2 linked regions of the Mytilus edulis genome follow. The protein of the gene in region 2 purifies or fractionates together with the protein of the main gene of each other region. This does not show direct contact. Links are inferred from orthologs where the notes say so. Each region holds a gene or a part of one and is shown on either strand. Other genes may lie near its edges. The genes, in order: uncharacterized protein and RNA-binding protein 28-like.

Evidence for each region.
Region 1: the proteins of RNA-binding protein 28-like (region 2) and uncharacterized protein purify together in Homo sapiens (affinity purification with mass spectrometry; 3 studies listed by BioGRID and IntAct, with this or other methods). This does not show direct contact. The link is inferred for Mytilus edulis from reciprocal best matches to the Homo sapiens genes RBM28 and REXO4.

What each region holds. Positions count from the first base shown.
Region 1 is NC_092344.1:89,229,547-89,241,860, forward strand, and holds the start of uncharacterized protein, read left to right. Parts: upstream 1-6,004; 5' UTR 6,005-6,142; intron 6,143-7,889; 5' UTR 7,890-7,892; coding exon 7,893-8,294; intron 8,295-10,974; coding exon 10,975-11,066; intron 11,067-11,521; coding exon 11,522-11,629; intron 11,630-12,314. Other genes in the region: aminoacylase-1-like, read right to left, coding at 2,838-2,902, 5,820-5,910.
Region 2 is NC_092353.1:13,393,022-13,405,821, reverse strand, and holds the start of RNA-binding protein 28-like, read right to left. Parts: upstream 5,177-12,800; 5' UTR 5,111-5,176; coding exon 4,984-5,110; intron 1-4,983. UniProt on the Homo sapiens protein: Nucleolar component of the spliceosomal ribonucleoprotein complexes.

The sequences.
Region 1 (12,314 bases), on a different chromosome or scaffold from region 2:
TAAAATGAATTTTATTGAGAAAATATATTATTTTAGAAAATATGAAATTATGAAATAATTGTTTGACAAATTTTTAATTTAATTATTCAGGTAAATTTTGTGAAACATGTCGCTTCTTAATAATTGCTCTGAGCAACACTTTGGTATCTTGTCAATTGTCATTAATTAATCTGAGCAATATTATGGTTTAATTAGGATTATAAATGTAATTAACTTGTATCTCTCTAATTGACATTATTCATATTTCACCTTTGGACATTGTAAACAATATTATTAATACTCAAAATTATCTCAATTATCTCAATTATCAATGTCTGTCATTTTATGAGTAGTTTTCAGCTTTCGCCTTAAATATCGGAGTCGAACAGTATTCGTTAGTGTAGTCTCGTCGGTGTTGTCCAGATAGGAGTGCTTCCAAAGCCAACCAGGCTCAGCTACTCGGGAGAAATGCTAACTCAAAAGACAGCTCAACACAACTGTAACTATTCAAGCCAGACAACATCAACTTGGAATATTACGAACATTTTGGACTTTTAACTTTAACTGAGAATTAGTGAAATTAGTGACTTTATTAATTGGAACATTTGGACTTTATTTATTTGTAAATTGTTTTGGCATCATTATTATTATTTGGACCTGTTACTATATATAAATTTGTTACAACTTGCTGCTTGATTTATAGTTTTGCCTGCCATTGCTTAAGTCTTGCGAAAGACTGACCCCCTGTGCCTTGGGCTGTGCATGTTCGATAGTCCCCCTTAAACTCGACGTGCATTGGCTCTTGGTGACATATATACAAAGAATTAGCAAAATAAATTGTAACTGCAATTTGTGTTTTTTTTTGGAAAATTGATAATTCCTTTAATCTTGAGGGGGAAAACATCCCATTCTACTTATGCTATTGAACCTTTTGTTCAATTTCAGAGTAATCAAAATACTTAAACACAAGTTATTGTCCTTTAACTAGAAAAATGCTTGATTTGAGCCTCTTTTTGGCTCCTAATTCCTAAACAGTTAGGACATCTATCCCACACCAATCCCAACCTTCCTTTTGTGGTATTGAACCTTTTTATTAAAATTCATAGAGATCTATACACTCAAACTAAAGTTTGTCTGGAAACAAAATGATTTTGCAAGACAACAACATCATAGCAATACATGAGTGACTGCAAATTATTTACAGATGTATAATTACATTATTAAAGGTAGAAATAAGATTTGTATAAAAAAACTTAAATATAGTGACTTACAGCAAAGTGTTTTTAGGATTATGTACCCTTGTGTTGCTTCAATGCTAAACCTATGGAAATGTTATAGAAAATCAACAGCCTTTCCCCTTGTACTCTCATATTTGGCAATTCGATACTTGATAGACAGAGGATTATTGCATGCAGTGCTAGCAATGATTTCCTTAAAACAAGTTTATAATTTTAGATATTTGTTTAAATAAATATAAATGTGAACCAATTCAAGTACACCTTCTAGGGTGCGACTTTAGTGACTCAACATGAGATGTTTTGGAATTTAAAGGTTGTTTTAGGACTTTTTGTAAACAATATACGCTAGCTGATCATAGAAAAACAAGTGAGGCCAAATAAAAATATATGTATGGTTCCAGTAACCCTACTGTCCCTACTTTTTCGGCTTAAAAATAGCCTACCCTAAAGATTTTATTGTCATTTTTCATGAATGTTGCTCCCATAGACTCAATGTAAAAAAAAAAAAAACATCAAATAAAAAAAATCCCTTCCTACCTACCCTAACTTTTTATCCGATGTAACTGGAACCACATACTTTTTTATTTGGCCTGAATTAACTTTGTTTCAAATTTTATTACAAAAATCTCTGTATTAAAGTCTGTGGATTTTCTACAAAATTCTTGATTTTATTTTCACCAAATTCCCTTTTTCTATTAAATGCATCTAAACTTTAAATGATTATGCTTTGCACAAAGTTTCCCCTTTGTATATGTACAAAATGGCCCATCTCTATTATTCATTATCCTTGCTGATTTGATACTATTGCAGTTTAAAAAGTTCATAATTCACAGGCCACAGAAGGGGTCATAAACCTTAACATAGAAATATATAAAATTTTACATTTTGTCCACCTCATAACCTTTTATTTTGAAATAATTTTTGAATATACATGTATATACATCTATAATAGATACCTTCCCAAAAGTGAATCTATATATTAGACAAGTAGGCATATTGTCTCACAGGCAGCATAGGTTAGTTTATTTTGTTCATGTTAAACTTTGTGTCATGTTTTAGTCAGATGGTCTCGTAACTATGCCTTAAAAATTACATTGTGTCTGCCTTACAATGTAATGTACAGTTGGTGAACAACTTCATTAATACAAATATCAAAATCCAGAGTAATTTAATATTCAAAGATGATGTCAACATTTACATTGTGTATGACCATGAATTTATTTAAATGAAAGGTGTGACTATTGTCTCTTTTCTATATATTACACTGGTGGTATGACTCTGAATTACCGTAATTAAAAGTGCATGGAATAATTAATTTTTCCAACTTCAGTCATAAAAGCATTTTCCTTGTTATCTCTCCCCATTAATTCTTATCAGTGATGTGTGATAACTTTTATGTTTCAAAACAAATATCTATGGTTGGAAATATTTTGTGTGCATTTATTTATTACAAAAAATATACTTAGCAAAAATTCACAATTTACAGTATTTCACTGACAATGTGATAAAGTATTGTTATCATGGTTATCATTTTTTCATGCCATTATCACAAAAATATCAAAGGATACCAAAGAAATCTGATTGGCAGGCATAAATGATATAAAAAAATAAAAGTAATACCTCAACTGTTTTAAATGGCAGACCAATGTCCTTTGCTTGATCTTTAAGAAACTTGATAGCTCCATCTAAATAAATCAAAATACAAATAAATCTGATCATTAAAGTGATGTCTATAAAATTCTTTTAAGAACAAAAAAAGTAAGAATCATTTGTTAATACAAACCTGTATGGAGAGAGACTGTTCTTAGTTTCAACATTTGATTAAATTAAATTAATATAGCTATCTATCTATGCATTTTGTATTTCAGAAAAAATACACTTGCATGTTGTTTTCTTCAATTAATGTTATTGCAATTGTTAAATTTTATGTACAATATTCTTCGCTGAGTCATACCTGCCAACTGTCACTACTTGCAGGCAATGTCCCGTATGGAGACTCCAAATTGGAAATTTTGAAAGATTAATATTGTCCACAATTTAAAACAAAACAATCAGTTTCACCATGGGTATAGCATTGTAAAAGAATGAAAAAGCAAATAAACAACATTAAAATAAATTTGATGGCCCCTTAAGGTTTTGTAGGACTATTACAGCCATCCTGCATGTAAAACCCCCATGGGCATTTTGAAACACAGGCAGGTATGCTGAGTTTATTATTGACAACTTCTGTAGGAATGGGAAAAGATATTCCAGTTCCGTGATACAGTAGTTAATTATGTCTGTCATATGACTTCATTCACCTTGAGACAAAGTGTAGGCAGTGTCACTTCCAAAACATGTTGAGTGAAAGAATAAAAAATTTTGTTGCTATTCTTCAAGAAATATTTGGGAAATCAAAATCTTATTAGTTGGTCACCCTTCCTTCAGTTGTAGGGTAATTGAGATTACATAAAATGTACATAGATTATTTCTAGACTCTTCTCCTGAATTATGTTCCTACAGATGCATGAAACTTTAATAGTGCAGGGATACATGTTCGCCTTCTCTCAGGTAGTTGATAATCTTTTCCAGTCATACAGATAGACATAATTCGAAAAGTACACTTGACCCAAGTATTTGCAACACTTGGATGTCAATCCACAATCAATTTGCTTGTAGTTAGACACTGCTTTTGTGAGGTAAACACTTTTGGGAACATAGTTGTATTTGTCAATACCTTAAAGGAGGGTTAATTTGTAATGGGGCTACTTCATGACAAATAACAGTAAAAATTCCTGCCAAATGACGTTAATAATAATTTTTGGTGCATGACAATAAAATATACACTTCTTTTCGACGATAAAAAATTGACTGAATTTGATAAATCACAAAAATAACAGTTACAATAATGATTTGAGACATCTGAGAGGGTGATAAAGGGGGGTCCTGAACACGGAAACAAGTGAAATAAAAATCTCAAAAACGTTGCACAGAAAATAAAAATTGGAAAAACGAAGCACGAGAAATAAAATTGTAAATATAAAAGAATTAATACTTGAAGTTATTACTCAGCCGTTCTTGGAGATCAGGCAATCACTATTTTTGAACATGACAACCTCACAGTAACCTTTGAACATCCACAAGTTGCATGTGATTTGAAAAAAAATAATATTTATAGTCATTTGATAGCAATTAATATCCTGGGAACATGTAATTAAAAACAATCTCTGGATTGACTTTGAATTTAGTCCCATTTACTATTTATAATGAAATGCGGGATAAGCATGAGAAATTAAATGTCAAAACACGAAAACACTTGAAACAAAAAGGCCAAAAACATTGAACGAAAATAACTCTTTACCACCCTCATCTGACAAATCATGATGAAGATAAGGAAATTTTGACAAATCAGAGTGAAATTTTAACCAATGTGACGCTAACGGTTGCCCAAAAATAACCTTAAAACGTCTGATGTTAAAGGGCATTCTTAAAGGGATAGTAGCTACGATTTTGAAAAAAATATGAACAAGTTTTAAAGCTGCTAAAATCAAAAGCAATAAGATCGCTAGAATGTTTTCATAAACTACAGAAGTGTTAATAATTGATAATTCATATCGTGTTGTGTGCCTATTCATCTCATTAATTATGCATCGGGTTTACTTCCCGAACTTTGCCGACATAGCGAGTGAGCTAACCAAGATATATATAGATACGAACACGTGCTTTTTGTTTTCTTACATATTTGATAATTACTCTTTATTAAACGTACATATTTGACGCCATTTATCAAATTATGTAAATAAAAAATATAACAAATACCGGCATGTTATTCCAACCCAAGAATCTCCAACAATGGCGATATTATACACTTGTTATTACATTTGTATGACCAAACCATGCTGATAATGTATACACGTGTTTGTGTGTTAAATCGGGGCCTCCATGAAGGATACACCTGAAGAATAATACTAAAGTTTAGGAAGTTGATTTCTAATTTCTTCTAAGCTGGGAGATTACTGCCCGTAAATTTATAAACATATTTTTGACAATTATGAACACGTTGAGATTTTTTTTCATGTGATCTGGAAAATTTAAGAAATGTAAACATTACGCAAACCGTCGGCTACTTCTGTTTGACTTTGCCTGCGTCGCAGGTGTTTTTATTGATTTTAATGACCGATCTCATCGACGTTTTTTATTTTTGATTTACAATAACTTGTCTGCACCTCTTTTTTGTTTCTTTTCTCGCTGAAACTGTAAATTCGCGTACCATTTCCGCGATAACATTCCCCTGTTCGACCATTTTCCCTTCGAGGCACAATGTGGGATTGCGCATTGGGAACTAAAGAGTAAAGGTCATATGAATAAGGGTTGGGCTTAACATCGAATTATTATCTATAGATAATAAATAAATGTAGGTGTTAAACGTTAAAAAGCTTCTAAATGCTCAACTGAACGTAACCAGTAATTGTTTTAATCCTAACTATTTTACTTTTTGTACAAAATCCGGCATATAGATTAAAAAAGTAATTTTAATGAAAATCGTAGCTACTATCCGTTTAACCTCTTAATATTGAACTATTATCTGATTATACATACGCAATATAAATATGACAAACATACCATAATCTGGAGTTGGGTGGACCGATTTGATACGCAAATACTGTCTAAATCTTGTGACAGCTGGATCTTCTTGCTTGTTGCTTTCTGTCATTTTTCTTATTTATATAGTTTTCTTGCAACGATGTTACTGTGATTCTTAGCGTACTTCCTAACCTGGGAAAAACGATTTAGAAAACCGAATGAAAACACCTGTGTGGGTCAAGATTCAGGACGTTAGTTTTCGATGTCGCGAGAGATCTTCCGAATGAAACAAAATGTCTGCGCCCATGAACACAAACGCTTTATAAACTTTATTGGTTTTAACTATTCGATACAGCTTTCAGGTGAGATAATCATAGAAAGGCAACTATATGTAATCCTGCACTGTTTCAAAAGCAAATCGGTTAAACATATAAAGGACATATGCATACAAAATTCATACACACAAATATTCAACAATAATGTCAATATTACAGTGTCAACTGGTCAATGAAACCTTCTACCTGTACATGTAGCTGCAGTAAAATGTTCTACTCTTGACAGTTAATATCTGTTCTCAATAAACATCTAAACAGCCAAATAAAATCTACACCGTTTTAACCACAATGTAAAGATATAAGTACACAAATAGAAGATAAAAGGAATTAAATCATTTATTATTTTAAGTTTGTTTATATTTATAAAAAAAATCAATGTACTGTCTATGCCTATAATGAGGGGCCTGATTGGGGGGGCGGGGGGTCTCATCATAATTCACGAGTTGATTTTTTTGTCAATCACGATTTACATGAAAAAAAATCTGTAGAAAAACAGATCACAATAGCGAAAATGCACCGATCACAAAGAACGAAAATAACCCATCAGGCCCCTCTATAATGGGTCCTCTATTGGAAATAAAAAAAAATATTTCTATCTTTATCGTTTTAAATGAAAATAGAAATAAGATGCCATGCACACATGACAAGGAAAAAGTAGTACTCAGCACTTTATCATCAGTATCACTACATGAGGGTAGTAATGGGGGTACCTTCATGACGTATAACGGTAAAAATTATTGCCAAATGACGTTAACGGTAATTTTTAGTGCATGACGATAAAATGCACACTTTCTTTTAGAAGATAAAAAAATCAGCTGAATTTGACAAATCATGCTATTTTTTTTCCAAAAATAATGGTAACAATAATTATTTGAGACATCTGAGGAATCACGATAAAGATATTTTGACGAATCACGACAAAATTTTAATCAATTTGACGCTAACGATAGCCGAAAATGACCGTTTGCACCTGACAGTAAAGGGCATTACCACCCTCCTATATTGAGGGAGTGCTGAATTTTAAAAAAGAAGATGAAAGCAAATGCATGCAATACAAATCCTTGGTTGGTCAAATTATTTTATAAACATTAAGGTTCATCATAAAAAATAGACAAACTTGGTATAAAAATACAGTTCAAGTGCACTGCTGCTAGGTATTGATTTTTTTTCCCAGATTCTCAGTTTTGTCTTCACTCAGACAATAATTTCATAGGTGAAAACACAACCGATGTTTGTCTATTTGTAATGATGAACCACAATGTTCATAAAATAATTTGACCAATTTAGATAACAGTATAGATTTTGCTGAAAAAATATTTTTGTTACTATCTTTTTGCTGGCTTCATGCCAAGTCACCACAGAAGTTTCACTTGCCACAAGGTCAAGTTCTATTGAATCTGGACTCGCCAAACACGATTCTTACTCGCATTAGGAGAGTGGTAAGCAGAGGTTTCATACACTGCTTCAATTATGTGATTTAATTTTCTCGTTAGTCAAGGGAAACTACCAATCAATTCTTAAACATGATAATGTATGTGTTACACATATATCTAAAAAATTAGGGAGCCCTAGTGGTAGTTTACAATTTCAGATTAAAACTTGGCAATTAAATTTGATATCCTATGGATATGATTTTGAAAAAATGAGAATTATACTAAATCATACAATATTCAATTATTAAACTAAGTTCATCTGGAAAAAAAAAAATCAAATTATCTCCCCTTTTGCTTAAATAATTTGTTATTGATATGACATAAGTTTTGTTACTTTGTAGATCATGAACCAACACAAGAAAAGAAAGTTTCCAGGAACAAGTCATTCTATTCCAGGTCAGAAGAAGACAAAACTAGATTCAATTAAAAATGAAAATTTAAAAGCAAACAAAAAGATACAACATAAAGGATCCACAGTTTCTGTAAAACCACAGAAGGAAGGAAAGACTAATAAAACAGTTACAAGTGTTCAGACTTCAGATAAACAGCCTAGTCGGAAAAAGAAAAAGAAACAATGGCAATCTGTGAAAGAAAAAAGAAAGAGACTTAAGAAAAAATATTTAAATGTTGACAAAAGTACTTTAACTGAAACTGATAAAACTACACAAGCTATTCTTCCTGAAAATAAAGTAAAATTACCACAAACTTCTAGTGAATATTCATCAAATTGGAAAAATCTTATGAAAGTAAGTTTATATCTGTGTGTGGCGTTGCCAAGAAGAACCCTTCTATATGGTGTCTTCAGTGAAATGTTTTTGGTTTATTTATTTTTTCTTTTCATTTTGGGTATTTTTGTGATAATGTCAGATCTATACAGGTCTCTAGATTTGAATTTCTCTAGAATTAGTTTCATTTACATTTTGACATAATTGTCATTAATTGATAAGAGTAATTTTGTCTATAGGTGTTGACCTTTACTTAACATTTGCTTTGTGATATGTTTATCATATATAAATTTATTGGCCGTCTACATGACATTTGCTTTGTGATATTTTTATCATATATAAATTGATTGGCTGGCCCTCTACAATATACAAATAGTAAAAAATATATATTATTGTGTTTATTAATGTTTATTTATAAAATAAGAAAATATCACATTTATGAGATCTAATTTTATTAAAACTATGATGTATAATTTGAAACAGAATGAAAAGCCAGCTAAAAATTTCTAATAAAGGAAGGTTATACAGCAATATCTGTATGAAGAATTTGTAAAGAAATAGACTATTCTATAAATGTAGCTGTATTAATTTTTCCCTTGTTCTACTTACACAACCTGTTTGTTTAGACACTTGCATATTTAATGTTATCGTGTATCACTCTAGTATCTTGGCTCCATGTAAAAGTTCACTTTAGAAATGCACATTACTGTTAACCACAATACAAAGTTTAATATTGAAATCTCTTCATAAGGCCACACCAATTTAATTTCTTGTTTTATGGATTTTTGGGCTCCAAAATTTGGGGCGAGCGAGCGATTTGAAAATTTTAATAAAAAGATATTTAATTTGCAAATTTTTGAGGCGAAGCTCGAAAAGTAAAGGTGAGCGATTATAATTTTTTTTTGTAAACATAAAATAGTAGGTTTTGACAATATTAAAGCTTGATTTATCACTTGTACTTTGACATTTCTTTAATTTCTGAAGTAATTTTTCCCTGTTCTCCAAGAAATAATTAAATCTGGTCTATGTATGTGTGACTGACAATGAGACAGTTCTCCATCCAAGTCATAATCAGTTTGGGGACAACCCCTTAATGTTATAAATATCCCTTTTACATGTTTTATGAGGGATCAATATAAGTTATAATATATTTGTTTGTACAAAAGGGCTCATATTTTCTTAAAGAACTATGTATCTATCTGGTATTAAATGGTCGAAACAAGTCCAAGAATTTTGTAATATTCCTGGACTTTAACCATTATATGTTAACACTTTTACTTTAACAGTTTAATATTATTCAAAATAAGAGGACCCCTCTTTTAGAAAAAGTTGTTTAAAATATGATGTAACTCTTCAGTGGCGGATCCAGAAATTTTCATAAGTGGGGGCCTGCTCGAGTCACGCTTCAGTGAATCCCTATATAAGCAACCAATTTTTTTCCCAATAGGGGGGACCGGGCTCCCTGCCCCCCCTCCCTAAATCCGCCTCTGCTCTTCTCTTTTTGAGTACAAAATTCTAAGTTTTCAAAGGTTTTGTATAGAAGAACTATACAAATCCTTGGTATTTCTATTTTTCTTTTCTACATCAGTAAAATGACCCCTTGTCTGAGGGAGGGTTGTTCTCAACCTGATAATAACAAACACAGGTCAAAGTACGGCCTTTTACACAGGGCTTTGATACAGACCAAACAGCAGGCTATAAAGGATCCCAAAATTATTAGCGTACACAGTTCGAACAGGAAAACCAACGATCTAATTTATATATCAAGTATTTCCAAACGGGAAAATACCAATGAACAACATCAACAAACGATAACTGCTGACCGACAGGCCCCTCAATCAATCAGGACAGGTGCATAAACATGCAGCTGCTATGGATAGTTTTGTTTCGCCAGCATACAATATAATTGCAGTTGAAGGCAAATCCTTCAGAAGTTCTTTGTACTTCTAACAACGAACATTTGTTGATAGGGAATAGGGAAAGTAACCAATTTTTTGTTCTTTACATGCAGGTATTTCCGTAGTTATAAATTTATATCGGAGCACTCCCGCTTTTAGTCCAAATAATTATGACGTCTGGCAAGGCTATTTTAATTTTTTTCTGGGACGCCTCCCTACGACGTCTGGCAAGGCTATTTTATTTTTTTTCTGGGACGCCTTCCTACAACGTATTTTATTTTTTTTCTGGGACGTAGGAAGATGTCCCAGAAAAAAAATAAAATAGCCTTGCCAGACGTCATAATTATTTGGACTATCCCGCTTTGGATAAATAGGTTTCATGCTGAAACAAATATTCTCACAGATATTTACAAAGTGTGGTGGGGTGCTTTTTGCTTTTATGTTTAAAATCGTTATATATACAGGTTAGACTGTGATTTTAAAAACAAATGTTGATATCTTTTTATAATATTTACAAAAAAAATGGTGCGGGAAATGGACATGATTACATTTCCGGATGCGGGAAGCGGGAATAAAAAAAAAAAAAAACAAATCTGTTTTGAAAAAAATAGGTGCGGGCGGGTCCGTTGAACAAGGTATCAAATTGGTGTGGCCTAAGTTATTATTATCATATTTATTAGCCGATTAGCAGACCAAAAAGAAGTAGTAACACAAGATAACCTCACTTAAATTGTTCTCTGCTATGGGTTTCAATATTGTTACACAATGTATAATAATTTGTTCCTGATATTTTCTTATTACAGACATTTAACATTCCACAGACAAAGAAAAAGAAGAAGAAAAAGCATGAGGAAAAACAATTACCTAGTGGACAAACAAAGACAGAGCAGGAAAAGTATAAATAAATTCAGAGTATAATGTTTTCTCACAAAATTTCACTCAAGCATGTAAATTCAATTTTTAAAAGTCTTGATTAATTTCTGAAAATGAATGTATTCATCCATTTTTGTCGAGCCTGTGACTTTTGCCTTGTTTATGATCAAAAGCTAGTATCAAGACAGACATTTTGTAAAAATTTCTATCCTGTTTTTCCTTATTTTACTTAGAAATGGGTTTTTTCCCAGTTAACATTAGATACAGTCTGCGTTTAAAGTTTTTAAAACAATTATTAGACTGGTTTTTTACCAAACTTAGACATAAGCTTCTTACAATCAAATGATATTATATAGAGGAAAATTTGATTTTTTTTCCCACAGTTTTGATGAGCCTGCGACTAACAAAGTTAATTTTTCTTATTTCAATGAAATTATTAATGCTTGAAGATACATTACTATTTAATAATTGTTCCAGGGAACCAGAAATTTGGTTTGATGATGTAGATGACATTCTGCTGGACAGGAAACCAGAATCTTCACTTAAACAGTCAGATAAACTTGTCAAGCAGCAATCATTTACAGGGTAAGGTAGTTATATTATTATAGATTTGGATGATTTATAAAGGAAATCGGTCTGTTAGACCTCAAACATGGTGACAAAAAGGAAGTAGCTTTTGCTAAAATTGTGTCAATCAAAACCTAGCTATCTATTGTTCATAAATCAATAAAGATACCACCATAGTTAGATAGTACATGTATGGACATGATTGTTTTAAAAGAAAAAAAAGTGATTTTCCTCCACTTCATTCTCATCTTAGAACAATAAGCTAATTAAGTCATTGTGTTCTCACTTTGCTCTAGTAACTTAGGATGGAATTGATCAAAGTAAAATTTAAGAAAATAGCATTGAAATGTATTATTGTTATTTCTATAATTGCATGGTATAAGTTATAGGATAGAAATAAGTTGTAATCCCTGGAGTAAGTTTTTACATGGCAAACTATATTATTATTGTTATGAAAGCTGTGGATGCTGCATCTTTCTATCCAGTTGACAGCATTTCAGTTTCTTTTGTGTAAACTGATCTTTGTTTACATTGTGTCATAAAGAGGAGAAAGATTTTGATATTTTATATTGCTTTAATAAGACTTCAGTTTCATGAAACATACATTTGACCAGGAAGATCTCAACTATGAATGGGTGTCAAGTACATTGAAAATGTAAGTGAAATTCTAAATTTTTCAAAGTGCTTTCCTAGGTACCATATT
Region 2 (12,800 bases):
CTCTAGAACAGTAAAAAGACACCACCAAAATTCAAACTTGATCTGCATTTTGTGGTAATTAGCATTGTGTATAGGTAAACTAAAGTTAGAGAATGGAAACAAAATTGTAATTGGGCATAATTCTCTAACTGTAAAAGTGACATCCTCATCACCAAAATTCAAACTTAATCTGTGTTTTGTAGGACACTAATGTTAGCAGCATTGTGTATAAGTTTCATAAAATTTGATTGAGGAAAACTAAAGTTTGGGAACGGAAACCAAAAATTCAGCAATTTTTCTATTTGTACAGGGCATACATGTAAATCTACAAGGGTAAAAAAGATGCCAACAAAATTCCAACTTGATCTGCGTTCAAGATTATATATTTTTAAAATGTTCCTACATCTCATTTAATGAAAATTATATAATATACCATTTACATGTAATTATCAATTATGGACTTTTGGCGAGGTCCATATATAAGGTATTGACTGAGTGAAAGTCCTTAAGGAGGCTCGCGGGTATAAAAAAATCATCAAAAATTAAACATTTGTTTTTTCAATACACATTTTGTTTATTACACTATTAGTTATTACTTTATAATATGGTACAAAAATTACCCAGATAAATCTATTAGGCTTGGCCACAGATGACTTTAAAAATGTTTAAATCATTGAAAAAGCTCCAAATTATCTCCCTTTGGTGCAAAAATGTCATTGTTTAAATTGAAATATCTTTTTTAACTCATCGGTGACCTATATTTTTTATTATTGTTTTCAAACAAGCTGTACATAAACTAAATAATTGTAAAATGTTAGCGATTTCTGTAATTTAGTTCTTTTTTATTTTGATATTACCAATATTTCTCCTATTAGTTCAACAGAAAAAAATGGACATTAACAAAAATGTATGCTTCTTTCGGAGGAAGATTATGAGCTTAAATGAACGGTGACCCCATATTTTTATTTTATATTTCTATTAGGTATAAGATAAAGTTTAATCATAGAAAAAAATTGCAAAATCCTATATTAGAAAAAAAAGTTGATTTAGACCTGTGAGCCCCACATCTGTCAATAGTCATGATAATGTATTAGGAAAATGGCTTTCAATTTTCTTTCTGTGTATTTTTGAATTTAGTATTTTGCAAGAATTTTAACATGGTATTGAAAATATCAATATTCTTTGAACAACTTCATAGCTTGTTGCATAAGGGTTCTTGTATTCTCAGCGTCTGCATTTAATATAAAATTCCTGAAATATCCCGTGATAAACTTGCAAATTTCCTTTTCGTCTGCTGCGGCACTTCCTTCCTAGAATGCTACACCATATGTAATATTAGAATTTATTTTACTTCAAGCTAAAATGCCATAGTTTGTTTGGCTAATATGAGGCTGTTAATTTACTCTACCACATAGCTGAGCGGGTGACAATTTTTGGAATGTCACCCTCTTTTCTAGACCAATAAAAAATCAATAATTTAAAGGACAATGAATTGAATTTACATCAAGTTATCAAAGACAATGCTTAAGTTCTACATTTTGGCTCAGATTTTAATATTTGATTCAAAATAAAAAATAAAACATATTGCTTCACTTCTGTTGATTTTCATAATACCCATGACGTTGTTATACGACCGCAAAAATTGAAAATTTTTTGGTCGTATATTGGTATCACGTTGTGGACGTCGTCCGAAGACATTTCAGTCGGAAAGCAAGCCCTTAGTAACGACCGTTGTTGCTTCTTTCTTAAGACAACAATGGGACTGATATTAAAACCTGCCATTCTGAAATTGTGTTAATTTCGCGGCAAAAAAATTTGGCGCCAATTTGGAAGTTTTTCTTTTTTTCTGTTTCTTACTTGCCATTAGGGTCAGAAATAGAATTCTTTCGATTGTTTAAGATAAAAACGAAACGAATTTAAATGACCCAAGCCGAGATTAAATGAATCATTAGATTTAAAACTCATTAATTACTATAGATAAAAGGATTAGGACAATTATAATAAATTCATGATAATTTAATGTAAAGCAGACGACCTCATCAGAGACGGTTCACAACTTATTTCGTGCCACGCGTGATTTCATAATTTATAGCACATGACCTTTGTAAATATTTGTGTAGACTATTGATTTTATTTGTGCATGATTTGTATCTGTACTTGTGTTTTTAATTATTACGAAGGACCAGAAATGGAGATTGAATGGAAAAGGCACACTGTTCATTGTATCTAGTTTACACAAATCTCATACCGTATTTCATGCATTCAAATTTATGATGACACACTCGACCTCGGATGAGTCGAACCTCGGATGAGTCAAATACTTTGGTCCGGTCCCTTTGACTTCGACACAATGAGGTTTGACTGTATTTATTTGCGGAAACATAAACTTTTTATCCGGAAGCGTCATCTTTTTTTCCAGAAAAGTAATGCCAATTTGCGGAAACGTAAAACGCCAGTTTGAATAATATGAGTTAATAACAATAATCTTTTGATTATTTGTACAAGTATAGTTATTATTTTTAACTGGTTGTTAATTGATTTCACAATTATCCTCTATAATTTTTCGAGTTCATTTAATCTCCCTTTGAACTTCAATATCTATTTTGCTTAAAATTCATTTTTCATTTAAAAAAAAATACACCTTAAAGAATAGTCAACAATACAACAACAATACTGGTACATGTATATCGGTAATGTGCCAGTATTGTTGTTTTAAAAAAAAAAGTTACAATACTGGTACAAATTTTTATACCAGTATTGGACAATACTGGTACATGTATATATCAGTATTGGGATCACCAACTACATGAGATCTAAGAGGACAACTTGATTTAAAGGAGCAAGAAGTTTGATAAATACATATGGTGCAGTCCCGTGTATCCGTGCACTTAAGACTTATGACTTCACTTCATTCAACTGATAAAACCAATAATTGGATTATATTGTGTGAACACATTCATAACATACTTTTATTTCATAAAATCTTCTGTTTGTATGGTTTCATCATCTAGATTTTGTGTAATGTGTGTCCAAAATTACAGAAACCCCTGTTCTTAGAGTTCCTCTAATGTCCGGTGATTTCGTTAATGCCTTCCAAAAATAGCTTAAAAGGAAAGATTTTATACTACGAAATATACCAGAGTTTGAACCAAATACACTGCCAAGAATACAGAGCAAAAATTATTTTAATCTGATATAATTTTGACCTAAATAAAACAAATTTTATCTGATGATGTTATTTTTTAATGGAAATTGGCCAAATATATGGCAAATCACAGGAATATCATTTATTTATTAACTCTTGAACTTATCAATTTTATTCTTTTTTATCCCTTCGGAAGGCTAAAACAATACCAAGAATGATTTTGTGATCTCCTGTAGTTGGTGATCGCAATACTGGTATACCAGTATTGTCCACAATACTGGTATAAAAATTTTGTACCAGTATTGTATTCCAGTATTGTACCAGTATTGTGGGTTTTTTTAAATAAACAATACATATAGGTAATTAATCTATTATTAAAGTTGTCATAACAGTCACATATATATATGCATAATGATATTAACATATGACATGACAATTTCATATAGCATGTATAGAATGATTGTTTGTTTAACTGATGATGCCATTGTTGATACACTGTGATTGTAATCAAAGAAACTTTTAAATCTTCCGATGTTTTTTTCTTTTAAACTGTTAAAAGGGAACCATACTGTCTCAGCATTTTAACAAACTCTTTACTTTCTTCCATGTTTTCTTCCATCTCTCTTTTTCCAAGACTCGTATATTTAAGTGAATTTTATTTTGACATTAATGCTGTTATACCTTCTGTATCATCAGCATTTATTTCGTTTTTTCTTCTTCAGATGGCATTTCTGCAACCCCCACTTCCCATATTGATATTTAGGTATTCAGTCTGCATGTTACTAGATTACATGCTTGTTTAGCATGTTAGATAGCACCTGTACGGCTCTCTTACTGTAGGAGTGCTTGTCTAATACATGTATTAGTACTTGAGTATATATCTGCTACAAATTGTATTGCCCATGGTTCTGAATCAACTGCTTTAACCACCCTTAACATTTATGTAGACAAACTAGTTAATTTGATTATAATCAGGTTTCCCTATTAGCAACTTTTTTATGATTAATGGATATTGATATCTTTTATCGTGTTTATTGAGAAAGATTTATAAGAAAATGAAGACCAGCAAATGCATATGATCTTAGTATACATGTATTAAAATATCTGTAAAAAAAATATACATGGCATACATGTAAATGCTGAATTTACAGTGTCATAGTGTAATAATTTGCTTGAATTTATTAAAATTTATAATAACTCGGATAATAAAATTAAGCTTTTTTTTTTTTTATCTCAATTGAATTAATTAAAAAATATAGAAATATGATAAAATTATTAGCAATTCTTCTTCTTCTTCTTCCAGGTAAGGAACCGGATTCAATATTGAATGTTCATGGTTCCAAGCGAAAACTTTACGCAGTGTCGGGCAACACAGAAAGCTTTCTCTTGGCTATTTACAAATACATTTAAAACGTTCGCAAAAATATACAATTAAAATTATTTATATAATTAAAAATTGTTTGAATAATATGAGTTAATTACAATAATCTTTTGTTTATTTGCACAACCCTTAAAGTATAGTCAACAATACAACTACAATACTGGTATATAAATAATGTACCAGTATTGTTGGTGGGTTTTTTTTAAAAGTTACAATACTGGTACAAAATTTTATTGCCATCACCAACTACAGGAGATCCTGATTTTGTTTAGGTAACTTTGTTGATATGACAAAATCAGCTAATGCATGATATCACGGGCCGCGCAGACACCAGGTACTCCACTGTAACTTAATTATCAGCCAAATAATCTTACACAAACCATATGTCTTCATTGATAAATAAATTATTTAGCTAGGTCTACTCCTCAAAACACTAGATAAAACATCTGTGTATATATACATCTTTTACAATAATTACCTTTGTTTTTCACAACAAAACATTGCTTGAGCGGTCCAATATCACTGAACGTTTTTTCTAAGCTTTCATTGTTCGTACTAAATGGTAAATTTCTAATAAATAATGTTTTGCTTTTTCTCTCGTCCATGCTTTGCAGATGTACTGGTTTTAAACTCTAATTACTGCTAACGCTTATGTAATGCTTATTTCTGACAAGGAACCAGATATATCATACAATAATCTTAGAGTCAAGGTAGGTGACAAAATTCCGAAAAAAAATACGTACAAGCGGGAGATTTTGTTTGTACAACAGTAGTCAATAATGGGTAATATATAGCTATTGTAAAAAAGAATAAGACCCTTTAATGGTAAATAACGTTTCAACCTTTTTAACAAATATATTCTGGCTGAAATAGTTTCACATATATTTTATCAATTTGAATTGACCATGACAGGTTTTTATCAATATGATTTCCGAGAAGTTTTTCAACTGTAACCATTATCTAAAGCGATATTATTTTGTGATAAAACACATAAACATTCATTACAGTTTACCAGTTTTCTGTCTGATCCAACAAGCATACATTTTGATTTCTTGCTATTTATCGTCATATCATTTTCTTTACACCATTTAATAACATTGTTTAAGTCTTTATTCAAACATATATTTAAATTTACAATAGATTTAGATGACAAATGTAAAGTTGTATGATCTTGTATCATCAGCATATAGATCAGATTCTGTATATTTTAAGGTTAATGGTAAGTCATTTATATAAATGAGGAACAATAAAAGTATAGAACCTTGAGGAACTCCAAAAGCTACAGTTTTATATTCTGATTCAGGGGTTCCTAACTTAACTTTTTGCATTCTCTGAGAGAGATACGATGAAAACCAGAGTGGTCATCACATTTGTATAATTTGAGTTTTGATAAAAGTATATATTGTGATTTACCGTATCAAAAGCCTTCTTAAAATCTAAAAAGAGAATAGCTGTAAAATTTCCATTGTCCAATTCTTCTAACCATTTATCAATTATTTTAATGAGTGCTGTATGACTGCTTTTGTATTCATAATTTGTGCAGGGCGGCTTTAGGGGGAGGGCAGCCCCCCCCCCCCCCCCCTTTTGGGAAAAATTTTGGTTGCATATTTAGGGAATCACTGAAGCGTGACTGGAGCGGGCCTAGCTCCTCTTAGGCCAGTCATTGGGTCCCCCACTTATAAAAAAATTCTGGATCCGCCACTGTTGTGTGTGGTTAAGAATAAATATAGTTGTTTAAAGACAGTTTTTTTTTCAAATGACTTGGACACAGTGGGTAAAATTAAAATAGGTCGATAATTTGTTGGGTCTGTTTTATCCCCTCCTTTAAATATGGGAGCAACTTTAGCAGATTTTGATATATTAGGAAATATTCATGTACATAAACTAAGGTTTATTATGTGAGCAAGGGGGCTTGCTACAATAGACCTTGATAGTTTTTAAATTCTTGGTCCAACTCCATCAGTTCCAGTTGATTTAGTTATGTCTAGATTTTTTTGACCTTGTAGAACCTCGTCATTTGTGACAGTATATAATGAGAACTTAGTATCATCAATTATTTTTGAATTGACATACGGTTATTAATTTTCTCAGATTTAAAACTTTTGTGAGGATTTGATATAAGCTGCTCACCTACTGTGCTGAAATGATAATTTAAGCAGATAGCAATATCATTTTTGTTTTAACGTATACGACCGTCATCCGTATACGAGTGTCTGGATTGAATTGAAAAAATAGACAAAAAAAATACACAAAGTGCAGAATAATGAAATTAAAACAATGGATAAAACTAAACAAATCCTTGGTATAAATGACATATATTATTATATGTTTCTGGCCTGAGGGCCTGGTTAGTGTTCCTAACTTCTATATTCTTAATTTTTCAGACCATTTTTCTCGGTTCATTATTCATTTTTACCATTAATTTATATTTTAAAACCCATTGTTTTCTATTCTCTATTATTTTGCCTTATTTTTCTCTCCTCCTTTTTTGGCTCTTCATTCTGCATTTTTTACCACTATTGTCTAGTATAAATCATTTACCACTATCGTCTAGTATAAATCATTTAATTTGGATGTCACACGTCTTTTAAATGATGCTAACGATATCAACAAAGGACGACTGCAACAAACATCTAAAAGTAGATCTTGATAAAATGGTCACAAATTGGACCAAAATTTGGCAATTGATATTCAATCCCTCAAAATGTTATGTCCTTATAATAACCAAAAAGAGACAAACCATCCATATTTCAACTACAACATCAATGGACTCATATCCTCAGTTGAATCAGTTGAATCAAACCCATACTTAGGAGCTGAACTTACCAACACAATGTCATGGAACATTCAAAGTTGTCACTAGGCTTCATTCGAAGAAATATTGGATCCTGTCCAGATGAAGTAAAAAAACAAGCCTATCTTGTCCTTGTTCGACCTCACCGTGCTTGAATACGCAAGCAGCGCATGGGACCCTTACCTACAAAAGCATACACACCAGATTGAGATGGTCCAGCGCCGTGTAGCACGATTTATCAAAAGGATTAGTAACAACACTTTTAGAAGAATTAAACCTGACACCACTAGAAACGAGAAGAAAAATAGCACGTATAACGCTCTTTCATAAAGCCATCCATGAATAGGTTGCTATACCAATTTCATCACACATTTTAAAACTAAGTAGAACTTTGAGAATCCATCAACCGAATACAAAGATCTTTACAAATCAGGCCAAACAAAGATATTTACAGGTACAGTTTTTTTTTCCTCGGATCATCAGATACTGAAATTAACTACCAGAGATTGAGAGCAGTGAGGAATTCAAGACCAAACTTATCAAGCTTCTCTGTATAGTGGCTAACCAACACGAACAAAAAATAGATGATATTTTCAACCAGCACCTGTACATAAATTTTGGGCATGTTTATTAAATGTTGTATACAAATTGTTGTCATGTTGGAAGTCGTCAAACTAAACTTTATACTTGGGTGAATGTAGATGAAATGTTTCCGCTGTCTATCAGCTCGTAGACATAATTTTGTCGCGTGACACTGACGTCAGCAACGCTTTTTCATGATTTACTCCTTCAAAATGGAATTAAGAATTAAATTATAAGGAATGACTGACGGTTAGATTCTTTTAATTGTCTTTTCGAAATAACCTTAAAAAACACTATTTTTTTAATAAACTGCTACGTACTCGACACAGGCACCTGTGGTACTCGAGTTTGACTTATTTAATGTGCACCACATTTTTTTATGTTATTTCGTCATAAACAGAAAATAATTATAGTCATTCCTTAAATATTAATGATACAAGTACACTCCGAGACTTCTACGAAGGTCATCACAATGACAAGACGTTTTGATATTATTCAAATTCAAGATATCATGATTATGAACTTAATAAGATATCTTGTTTTATTTATGATATATCTTATTTAAAAAGTTTATGATACAGAGATATTGTATTTACTTTATAAGATATCTTATATCTGTAATAGTTATCCCATGGTTGTAATATATGTCTCTGTTATAATATATTTTATGATCTTTTTACTATATAGTATATAGACGTTACGCTGAGAATCTGCCGCTAGCTTTTAAAAGATTTGAATGGACAAAATATATAAATAACTGCATGGTTAGATATTTAGTCAGGAGGTTCGTTACCACAAATTAATTGAAACCTAACTAAATTCGTTCATAATCACAAGCTAGGATTAATTGGTTTGAAAGTTTGGCCATAACTGTATACAGTATATACACTTTGATATAAACGGGATAGCACATCCTAATTTTTTTAGACGATGCTGTTAATATAAGTTTATCAATTCGACACTGTAGTAAGAACTTTGAACATTGCCTTTATTGGTTCTTACATTGTTTTCTTTATTAATGAATACAGATTTGAATTATGAGGAGAAGTCACAATATGAGAGTAGACATTATCAAACAAGTTACTTTTTTCAAACGTTATTGGAAATAATTGTCTATATATTATCGTGAGAAAAAAAGTTGAGAAAAAAGCACGTCAAACAGATAATTTGGTTTTCTGCGAATAGATTTCGTAAAATATGAGTCCTTGACATACGCATTGTGAGACTTTTTAACATGATCTAACTTATTTTAGACAGTAGAACAGACAACACCAATCACAAACACATATATATATATATATACACTATATACTAGACAAAAACGAAATGCAACAATGTATTACTCGTTCGTTTCGTTACATGTATGTATGTGTACAGAACAAAGTACTACACAAATTTATTCGTTTTGTACAATGACATCAACGAACTAACAACAGTTACATGTAGCCTTCATCATTATTTACAACATAACAACGAACAATCAAACCTTACTAATAATGTACAAAACAATAACGAACAATAACCGATACTCAGTATATACAAAACAATAACGAACAATAACCGATACTCAGTAGGTACAAAACAATAACGAACAATAACCGATACTCAGTATATACAAAACAACAACATGCACACTTACATTGCTAGCCTGCTTTTCTGACCATGTTTAATTATTATGTCGGGAAAAAAATCACTCATACAAAAAACATACCCCCCTTGAAGTTAAAAGGTTTCTACCTTATGTATCATTGTCATACCCCCCTTGAAGTTAAAAGGTTTCTACCTTATGTATCATTGTCTTCTGTTACCTATTAAACTGATATTATTGTTTTGAGATATTTAACTTTGTATAAGTCTCAGGTTTATATTCCTTTTTTAACTTGTAATATGTGCGTAGTTTGTTTTGCTTTTCACCTGACAAACATGAGAACAAATAATTGACATATCTTTCTTGTAATATCTTTTTCACTGCAGATATGAGTTTTCCTTCTGACATAGTTCCTTTATTATTCCAAACATGGTCAAAACGAATGAATTTTAGAAACTGAAAAATGTGTTTATTAAAGGTACATGGAAAGGTACAATCAACATCTTCAATTGACTTATATGCTAATTTTGAAAAATTCAAAAGAGGGTCTTTATACAAATATAGCCAGTATTTAAGAGACTGCAAAATAACAAATATAGAGATTGGATAACGACCAAGTTCTGTCATACTGGCTATATTAGAAGCATTTTTAGTGGCACCAAGTACAATATCGAATGTGAACGTTTTCAGGTGCAAAATTTAAAAAAGTTTTTTCTAAATCATCATTTGAACCTTGTGTTAATCTTTTGTCCAAGTTAAGAATGTACGAACCCCACAATTCACTTCCACAGAGGACTGGTTTAACACAGGAATCAAAAAGTTTTAAAAGCAAAGGTGTATTATTATGTGTACAAAGAAATTTACGTTTAATCATGAAAATTACTTTAAGTGCTTTCTTACTAAGATCTTCAACTGCAGTACTGAAAGAACCAGATGCTCTCATTACAATACCTAGGTATTTATACTCTTGAACACTTTTGATAAGATTTTGCTCAAAATAAAAATTACAGTCTTTCAATAATTTACCTGATTTGTTGAATACTATTATTTGAGTTTTTTCTATATTCAATAATAATTGCCATTTTTGACAATAAAGTTCCAATGAGGATAAACAATTTTGTAGCCCTTCTTTGGTTTGAGACATTAAAATTATGTCATCTGGATACATTAAACAATTTAATCTTGTATTCCCTATATCTACTGGATCACACTTCTTATCAAGATATCCTGGAAAGTCATCAATAAATAAATTGAAAAGAAGGGGACTCAGTATACACCCTTGTTTAACACCAACATTTGAGAGTATGGAACCAGTCAGTCCAGAATCAGCTAGTTTAACTGAATATTTAACACACGTGTACATATCTTTAATCAAATGGAAAATATTGCCATTATTATATGTACTATACCTACAATCATTCCTTATATTAGATATAGTTGATGAATTGCTTTTATCTTTTGTCTTAAACCCTGACCATCGGTCATGTACATCATGCAACATTTAAAACATCAAAAATAATTGACCTATTGTTTTGAGTATCTGGGGAACAGAGTTTAAATACTTCACCGATCCATACAATCCAATTTCCTGTTTCATACACATTTCTCGGTAGTAATTTGCGATTTCCGTGTGAATCTTTTATAAATTTACATCGTACCAATGTATGCATTTTTTAAGAAAATGATATAGAAACAATTAAACAGACAATACAAATACTGACCTAATTTTTCATCCGACATCTTGGGATGACCGTGAATGCAGTTACGGTCATCAGCTTTACCCCAGTGTACAATGAGGACATGGTTTACTTATATGAAATCTGCCTGAATGATGTTTAGACCATGAAAGAATCCTATATTCCAAATATAGCTACATGTATTCTATTATTCATAATAAATAAGAAACTCACATGATAAATAATCTATAAAAAATTGGATAGCAGCAGGTGATCCCCGAAAATAAGATCAAGGAAACTTCGTAACATAAGGAACCTGTATACTTTTATCTTTTAAAATATAAACTTTTAACAATTGGTTTATGTCTTTGCAGCAAGACAGGCATTCCCGCTATGCATTGAATTCTACGACTGTTAAGTGCCAGACTGAAACCAAGTCCATCATTGAAGTTCATTTGTTTAACCAATCATCAACAAAATCAACTTGTTAAGTCCCATACAAGGAATATTGATGTTATATTTGCATTCAATAAAGAGATTATGAAGATTTTTTTTTTAATTTTTGGTAACCTCAAATGTTCTACCTGCTACAAGCTATATCATTTATCAGATTCGAGTCGGCATATCAAAGTTTGTTTTAAATAATTCAATTGTTCTGAGTTTCACTGGATTTTTCTTCATATTGGTAAAAGGTGTAAGTGTAAAAGTGATGTCTCTTATTGACAAACAAGTGAATCAGCTTCAAAGTACATACAATAACACTACACAAAACTTTGTAAGTTACAAGTCAATACCAGTTTTCTTCTTATTTCCCATGTGCCATTCCAAAAGTATTCTACTTTAAAATTCAGACAGCCAGGTGAAGTATTTCTGGTTATATCTTGCTTAAATTGGACTATTTGTTCGACTATTTTACTGAATATGTTTTCCAAAGATTTCCCTAAGAAACTTAAGTTTCATTTTGTTGGGCATATTAGTTGATTGATGGGGACCAGGATAAACACCAGTTTTAAGTATTAGAAGGATTCTTTGTACAAAATGTGGTTCATTTGATATGGGTGTCTACTGTCTAGTATGTTGCACAATACCAAATGATTGGACTTTCTTTAAACTAAACTGTACTATATTTAGTCTTTCATTGTTGCTTTGATTCAGCTGTTGTAGAGTGTAGACCAGGCCTAAGGTGCTCAAATATATATTGACAGAATTTACAGTGGCTTGTTGGCAATCTGTAGCAATTGCTCATTTTCTGCCCCAAGATTGAAATTTTAAATTTCATGCATTTGATTGGAGACAGGAATTTTCTGTAATTATCTTGAAATTTTTTTTATGTATTAGAAACAGTTAAAAGGATAAAAATCAAAGTGAGTGGAGGATTCAGTGGACACCAGCAAACATCTTGATAAAAGTTAAATTAAAACATGGATAGGTTTAACATCCATAACTACCAGTGGCAAATATTACATACACATTAGAACCTTTGTAATAAATCTGAACCCTTTATTGTATAAAACACATTTAGCAGGATTTTTAACATGCTAGTTCACAGGAAACAGTTTGCAGAGATATGTCTTGTTTTTTTGTAATTTCGATAATGCAAATATTGAAATTAAAATAGCAACACTTTAACATGCAAGTTTTACAAATTTTCAAAG